2 linked regions of the Bombyx mori genome follow. The protein of the gene in region 2 purifies or fractionates together with the protein of the main gene of each other region. This does not show direct contact. Links are inferred from orthologs where the notes say so. Each region holds a gene or a part of one and is shown on either strand. Other genes may lie near its edges. The genes, in order: TIMELESS-interacting protein and protein timeless homolog.

Evidence for each region.
Region 1: the proteins of protein timeless homolog (region 2) and TIMELESS-interacting protein purify together in Homo sapiens (affinity purification with western blotting; 6 studies listed by BioGRID and IntAct, counting the BioPlex papers as one, with this or other methods). This does not show direct contact. The link is inferred for Bombyx mori from reciprocal best matches to the Homo sapiens genes TIMELESS and TIPIN.

The regions. Positions count from the first base shown.
Region 1 is NC_085134.1:1,831,772-1,835,183, forward strand, and holds the end of TIMELESS-interacting protein, read right to left. Parts: intron 1,470-3,412; coding exon 743-1,469; 3' UTR 706-742; downstream 1-705.
Region 2 is NC_085115.1:6,779,316-6,783,809, forward strand, and holds the start of protein timeless homolog, read right to left. Parts: upstream 2,857-4,494; 5' UTR 2,621-2,856; coding exon 2,367-2,620; intron 2,295-2,366; coding exon 2,111-2,294; intron 1,280-2,110; coding exon 1,145-1,279; intron 653-1,144; coding exon 396-652; intron 1-395. UniProt on the Homo sapiens protein: Plays an important role in the control of DNA replication, maintenance of replication fork stability, maintenance of genome stability throughout normal DNA replication, DNA repair and in the regulation of the circadian clock.

The sequences.
Region 1 (3,412 bases), on a different chromosome or scaffold from region 2:
CAGGTATGCAACGGAAGTGACATCAAACTACTATTGAAATTAAGTACTTGTCAAATGTCAATAGTAGTAGTTGTTGTATTTTTCCAACTGAAAAGTCAAATGTATCATACCATACAGTCCAGTATTTTATAATTTTTTTGTGAAAAATGTTAATAGGAATTGAAATGAAATGAAATGAAAAGAATTTGGAACATTAATCAAATAGCATGAAATTAAATTAGTCAATTCAATTGGCAAAATATTAGTCATTTACAATTTAGAAATCTAAACTTAATGTGACCGTCAACACTGAGGTTAGAGATTGACATTTGACAGACTTTTGGCGGGAACATATCTCCCTTTTTTCCTTCCTCTAAGTCTCGGAAATCTAAAGTTTTAGATTTGTATAAATATAAGCAAGACTTATAAATTAGTTCGCCAAAAAAGTTTCATTTCTGACATGTGTACTTTGTACGCACGCACTTTTTTTTACTGATAGACAAGTTGCCCGCGTTGTATTAAAATGTTATTGAGTAGTAGTGAGCTCACGGGGCCCAAACCTGACGTCATTGCTAACATTAGCCCTAGCAAGAGGCGTTCTTCGCTGGACTACCACCGCATCGGAATCGCGACCCACTGAGAACATGCGGCGAGAAACTCAGTGAGCCGTGTCTGTAGGAAAAAATTGTATTGTCACTGTTGTATTAAATAATAGAAATGCGGATGTTGCCATAAAAATATTTGTATTTTATTCATTTAACCATTAGAAATCCTCATCACTAAAATTAATCTCCATTGCGTAATCATTAATAAATAAGGGGTCAATTACTTCTGTCTCTTTACTGTGATCTATTATTTTACTAACATTGGTTTCATTGTTACGTAAGTCATCTACTAAAATATCTAAATTATTTTCTTTGTCAACTTCATCCATATTATTTATTTCATCAATTTGTGTATTATCATTAATAGATGTTGTAACTTTTTCGGTTCGTTGGTTTATATTGGCTTCAATCAAATCATTTGGCACACATAATTCAATATTTTCAATTGTTTCTGTTGTATCCTTTTCAGTATTATGAATTTCCATAGGTTTTTCCTGAGAGCTATTTTTAGTTTGAAGCTCAAGTACTTTAGTTATGTTAAGAGCTTCTTTTAGATTATGATTATCATTATTGACAGTTTGATTTTCTATCAAACTTTTATTTATGTGTAATGAATTATCTACTGCACCATTGTGTTCAATTCCATCGCTATATCGTGTTTCCCCATTTTGTAGTGTTTGTTCTTCATTGTTTACTTTGTTTATATCATCAATCTGTTTGTTTGTTTCTAAATTATCATTATTAATTCGCTTTTGTTCAACATTGACATTTTGTTTGAGCTTAGCCAAACGCCGTTCTTCAGCCAATTGCCTATTTCTAAGCATCCTTTCTCGTTGTTCTTCGTTTATAGAAGGAGACGATGTTGCTTTTGGTAGTATTTGAGATCTGAAATCAAACATTTTCACAATAAAGTATTATTATATCATGTCCCACTTATTAGAGCAGGTCAATGACACGCGGGCCTTTGGTTCGTGTTAGTCGTGCAGGTGGAACTTGCGTGGGGTTCCAGAACAAGTAAACATCCAGCAGTTTATTGATGGTAATCAAGCGGACAGACAGTACAATCTATATATACAAAAATGAGTTGCTGTTCATTAGTCTCGCTGAAACTCGAGAACGGCTAGAGCGATTTGGCTAATTTTGAATTATTCGTGGAAGTCCATAGAAGATTTAAAAGGTGAAAAAATGTGAAAAGGCTCGGAATTAAATAAAAATAACAATTTTGTTTTTCCTTTGATGTGTGCCCCGTCGGACGGATTCCTTTTGTTTGTTTTAAGTTTATTTTATACAAAAGTTTAGGTCTTTTATTTATCGATTGAGGCACTACGAAGTTTGCCGGGTCAGCTAGTAAATATTATAATTAGGAACTTAAAGTATAGCGTGCATACCGTGCAACGGCACCGAGAGGAAAGGGAAGAACGAACCATAGACACCTGCATTTATACACAATGCAGGGCATTCAATATCAAGCCAAGATTTAATGAATACCTATTCACTCACATTCTTAATACCACTATCAACACATTAGATAGATAGATAGACATGACAAAGTGACAGATAGGTGCTGCCATGTTAGAGTTGTTGTTGACTTCAGATGCGTTCTTTCGGATTGCATTGGTGCTTTTAGGCATTTCGACCACTATTTACCATACTCCTCGAACTCGCGTTCGACACCCGAAGAATTCAAAATTTAAACTCATAACACTAACATATTTTCTAATGGAATACATACTCAACAAATGTTCACTATTGACTTCCACGGTGAAGGAATAATATCGTGTAATAAAAATCGAACCCGCAAAATTATAATTTGCGTAATCACTGGTGGTAGGACCTCTTGTGAGTCCGCACGGGTAGCTACCACCGCCCCGGCTATTTCCGCCGTGAAGCAGTAATGCGTTTCGGTTCGAAGGGTGGGGTAGCCGTTGTAATTATAGTGAGACCTTAGAACTTATATCTCAAGATGGGTGGCGCATTTACGTTGTAGATGTCTATGGGCTCCGGTAACCACTTAACACCAGCTGGGCTGTGAGCACGTTCACCAATCTAAGCAATAAAAAAAAAGCTGAGTTTATTCTCGCGTATTACGCATATATATATTTTTTTATTGCCCTTGTAGGCAGACGAGCATACAGCCCACCTGATGGTGAGTGGTTACCGTCGCCCATGGACTTCAGCAATGCCAGGGGCAGAGTCAAGCCTCTGCCTACCGCTTAATACTCTCTACAGGCCTCGTTTGAAAAACGACATGTCATAGCGCTCGGGAAGCACCGTGGAGGGGCGCTCATTCCATAGTCTGATGGTAAGTGACAAAAAAAAACCTTTGGAAACGCACTGTGGATGACCGCAGTGGTTCCAGGTAGTATGGATGAACTCTACTCCGGTGGCGGGCGGTGCGGTGGTAAAAACGAGATGCCGGTATCATCTCGAACAATACCTCAGAGCACTTCCCCATGGAGCATACGGTACAAAATACAGAGGGAACCGAAGTCCCTCCGCAGACCCAGAGGTTCCAAACGATCCGTGAGAATGGGATTATCGACAATCCGAACGGCCCTCCTCTGTATGGAGTCAAATGGAAGAAGCTGGTATTTGGGGGCCCCGGCCCAGAGATGGAAGCAGTACTTCACGCGAGGCTAGACTTGTGCTTTACAAAGCAAAAATCTCTGTCCAGGCGTGAAGTACCGCTTCGCTCTGTTGAGGACTCCCAGCATTTTGGACGCCAACCTGGCTTTGCCTTCCAAATGACTCCGAAACTGGACATCGCTCGAAATGTCGACCCCAAGTATCCCTACTGAGTTTCTCGCCGGATCTTCTCAGTGGGTCGC
Region 2 (4,494 bases):
AGAAAATCTTTTATGAACAAATCCACATAATTTTATAATTAAAGGAAGAGATAATCCATATGAAATATGAAGTTAAATGTTGTAGGTTTATTTGTTTGGTGACAAAATTAATAACTCTCAAAATTTTACAGTCATTTATCATTTTCTTTTTGAATTGCTAATTTAAAATATTATATGGAAAAATGACATAGGAAACTTGTCTGCTGTTTGGAGCAAAACAAATTTAAATATTTCTGAATAATCACCCTTATCTTAATATCATTAATTGTATATAACGCAAAGTAAATTCCTTTCATCTAATCGTATCAGGTTTGGATTAACAATTATGAATAAACTCATTATTGAAGGAATTTTATTCATTTATTTTAGTACTGCAACAATGTTTATTACGATACCTTGTGGCAGAGTACTGCTTAATTTTGCTGAGTCTTAGATTATTTTCTGTCATTCTTAAAGATAGTAATTCCTGTTCATCTTTTAATTTTTCATCCACACTCCTTTGTAATGCAGCATCAGCAAGACTGCTTGGATTTTGTTCTCTCAATAAATGTGATATTATTTCAATTATATGCATAAAGTACTGCTTTTCATTCTCTGATGACATGTATAAAATAATATCTAAAATACCTGATTGATTTAGGCTCCATAAAACCTAAAATTATTTTAAAAAATTAATACCTAAAAAGTACATTTAATTTTAGTGTAATAGAATTTTGAGTATATTTGTTTTATGTGCATTTTAGATTATTTTTAATAGTTTGACAGTAACCAGCTAACGCAAATTATAAAAGCTCATAAAATGAATGAAATATATATTGTATTTTTGCGTAATTTAAGAATGTTTCTTGTAGTTGATATAATGAAATTATCTGACACACTATCAATATACAATTGAAGTGATAGAGAAGGTCTTTTAATAAATCAGTCTCATGCTAAATGCATGAAATACGGTAAGCAGTGGCTTGGCTCTGCCCCTGGCATTGCTGAAGTCCATGGGCGACGGTAACCACTCACCATCAGGTGGGCCATATGCCTATATCGTCGTCTGCCTATAAGGGCAATAAAAAAAATACATTTATCAAACAGTAATGGTACATACCAGAGTATTCTTTATTAAATTAAATTAAATTAAATTATTATTTACCTGATCATGTATATTAGCATCATTTTCAGGCCTTTTCTCTTTATCTAAATCAGCAGGAACATGTAACACATTTCTGATTAAAATTAATATTCTTTCAATTATCAATCCTGTGTCCTCATCTCGCTCTGACCAGTCCTGTTCAATGTATGATAATGCAATATAAAAATACTCAAATTGTTTAAGTATTGATTTTTAAATTATTTTTGATTTTAAAGGCAGCCTGTTGCACTTTCAGTAAGTTTCATCTTATGTATGCCCCTGAGCCCAAATGTTCTATGAAGGCCTGTCAAAATAGCCAGCCAAATCTCTTGGCTAACATTTACAAGACCTGGCTTTCTCTATAGTCAGATTCACATAGAAACTTATGAGTATGTGTTAACCCTGAGGCATTGCTCCACTACATAGTGCATTCAGTTTTGGATTAGTCCTTCAGTACATTATGGGCAACTGTCATTAGAATTTTTATATATGATTCAGGTCCTATCATTGCTTTATTGGTGCAATATTGCATTGTAATATTTGAAGTGGATAAACAGGTAATATTTTTATAAATTAACAGTTAGTTTTTTTTTAATATTTTATACCATAGCGAGAGAGAAACCTGTTTAAGAATAACTGCTGTGTCTGCCAACTTTGAGCAGTTATAAGTTAAATAAAAGTTATGTTGCGATTATTATGGTTATTTTTATCTGTTTTCTAACCTATGTAAAATTTTAAGGTATAAATTTTCACGATGATCAGTATTATTATTTTTTAATGATGTACATCTTAACATTAAGAAGGTATTTTATCATCATCACAAACATACAATATCTGAGTATTTAGAAGTTACCTAATATTCATTTGTGGATTACCTAAGTTATAAATTTTTTCATATGAGCAAGGAATAAAATTTTACTGACAAGATCAATTCCAATGAATCTTATTAAATATATCTTACAATAAATTGTTTTTACTGTAACTTACAGTTTCTAATATTTTTGCTAGTTTTTGTGAGAAAACATTCCAAATATCAACTTTGCTAAATGCTTCTTCCTTATATGCTTGTAAATGCGTGAGTATTTGCAAATAGTTGTGTCTCGCTGTTCTTTCGGTTGGTACTTCTTCTCTGTACAAGAGCAGAGCTGGGTTTGTCAAGTTTACTAAAAGTCTGAAAGATACAGACATTGTTTAATCGGATACCATTCAAATTGACCAGATAGTTGGAAGTTAAAGAATTTACCTTAGAGTTACATCAAACAGTTCAGCATTCTCCCAATGATCTATTAACATCCGAAGTAAATCAGTTTGTAGCACTTTTGTTTGGCCCAAATGCCTTCTTATTTCATGATCTTCACCATCGCGACGCAAATATCGAATAAGATCTTTAACGGTATTAATGGTAAATTCATCAATTAAGTATTTACCGGTTTTTTTGTCAAAAGTTCCAAGGGCATTGCAAGTAGCAGAAAGTTCAGCTGATAATAATGAAGACATTTTATTTATTGAAAATGGTATGTACAAATTATTTTACTTCGTATAAGATCTTGGCTTTTCACTATTCACAACAGGAAATGATCATTTTATCAAATGATTGTTACATCCGAGAGTATTATAATAATAAATATTTACAAAGCTGTTTTGTTTTGAATATTTTTTAGGTTATAAAAGTTCACCCAATTATATTATGACATTTAAAATGACATGACATTTAAAAGCCCGCGAAACGAATTTTCGTTCAGAAACAAACAATTTTCAGGTAGATGTCGACGTTGGAAATCAACACTACGATAAATAAAGATAAACAAGCCCTCTGAAACTGTTGAAAAAATTACATATTAAAGAAAGAAACACTGATTAAATAACCATATTAGGGGCTCGGTTTTGAAATCTATCAAGAACTAGACATTTACGGTTACCAAGGCAATGTGAATATTATAAATATACACAGAGAGGGTGTTTTCTTATTGGCTTCCATATTGTCTCTACTTAAAATAAAGTTTTGTACAAAAAATATGTTGTTCATCAATTGGTAGTACTAACTACTATTTTATGTTTTTTTTTTAATCCTGAGTGCCAATCACTATAGCACCCATATTACGCTTAAAATATGTATTTGAAACACACTGTGGGTGAATGCAGCAGTTATGTTGACCACGTGAATAACAAAAATGAATTGGCTACAGCTATAATTTATCCATCATGTCCTGTCTTATTTATTTCATTAGGGATTGAGTAAACAGATGGATTATTCATCATCCTCATTAAGATTCTTTCACATATTTCAAGTCATGTCAGCTTTTCGCTAGCTCGTAAGCTTTTTCATTTCCCTTGGCACCTCCATGTCCAGGTACCCCAATTAAATTGCCATTGTTGAATCCTCCTCATTTATTATGGGTCTAAATATAGTTCAGCGTGTGTGCCGATCCTATTCCATAATTCAGCAGTGACAAGTACAAAACCGATTCATATTGTTTTAATAATTGTAACAGTTCTTGGAGTATATGACAGCATCCATTCCTGTAGTGTACAGACGGTTTTAAAATCAGTTCAGGTACATATTAAAACATTAAACGATAAAGCCTTGAATGAAGTTGAATGGTGAAAATTTGTTGTCATTAATTTATCCATGCCTTATATAGCTTAGGCTTTGGAAATATAAAATCGATTTTTGAAGTGAAACTTCCTTATCGGCGTTGGAAAAAAATTTACCGTCACATTTTTCGGTTACGTGTCACATTTTTCCGTTACGCGCCATCTTTTTTGTATTCATGTCTATGATAATAAAATCCTTTTGTTTAAACTTTATCTAATTTAACTTTTTTGTATTCATGTCTATGATAATAAAATCCTTTTGTTTAAACTTTATCTAATTTAACTTTATTTAACCAATTTCTAGAAAGTTGCATGTAGATCATTTTTCGAAAAATAAGGCCATAAAGAAGTTTCACTTCTTACGTGTGTACACTAGTACACGCACACATTTTTTTTTTATTAGTGGAGGAGCTCACGCTCCATTTGGTATTAAGCGGAGCTCATAAACATTAATATTGTAAATACCACCATGAGTTCTAAGGTTCAGTTTTATAGTACAACTGTTGCCCCGAAAACGGAAATGCTTTTTTTTATTGCTTAGATGGGTGGACGAGCTCACAGCCCACCTGGTGTTAAGCGGTTACTGGAGCCCATAGTCATCTACAACGTAAATGCGCCACCCATCTTGAGATATAAGTTCGAAGATCTCAGGTAGGTATAGTTACAACGGCTGCCCAACCCTTCAAACCGAAACGGATTACTGCTTCACAGCAGAAATAGGCAGGGTGGTGGTACCTAACCGTGCCGACTCACAAGAGGTCCTACCACCAGTAATT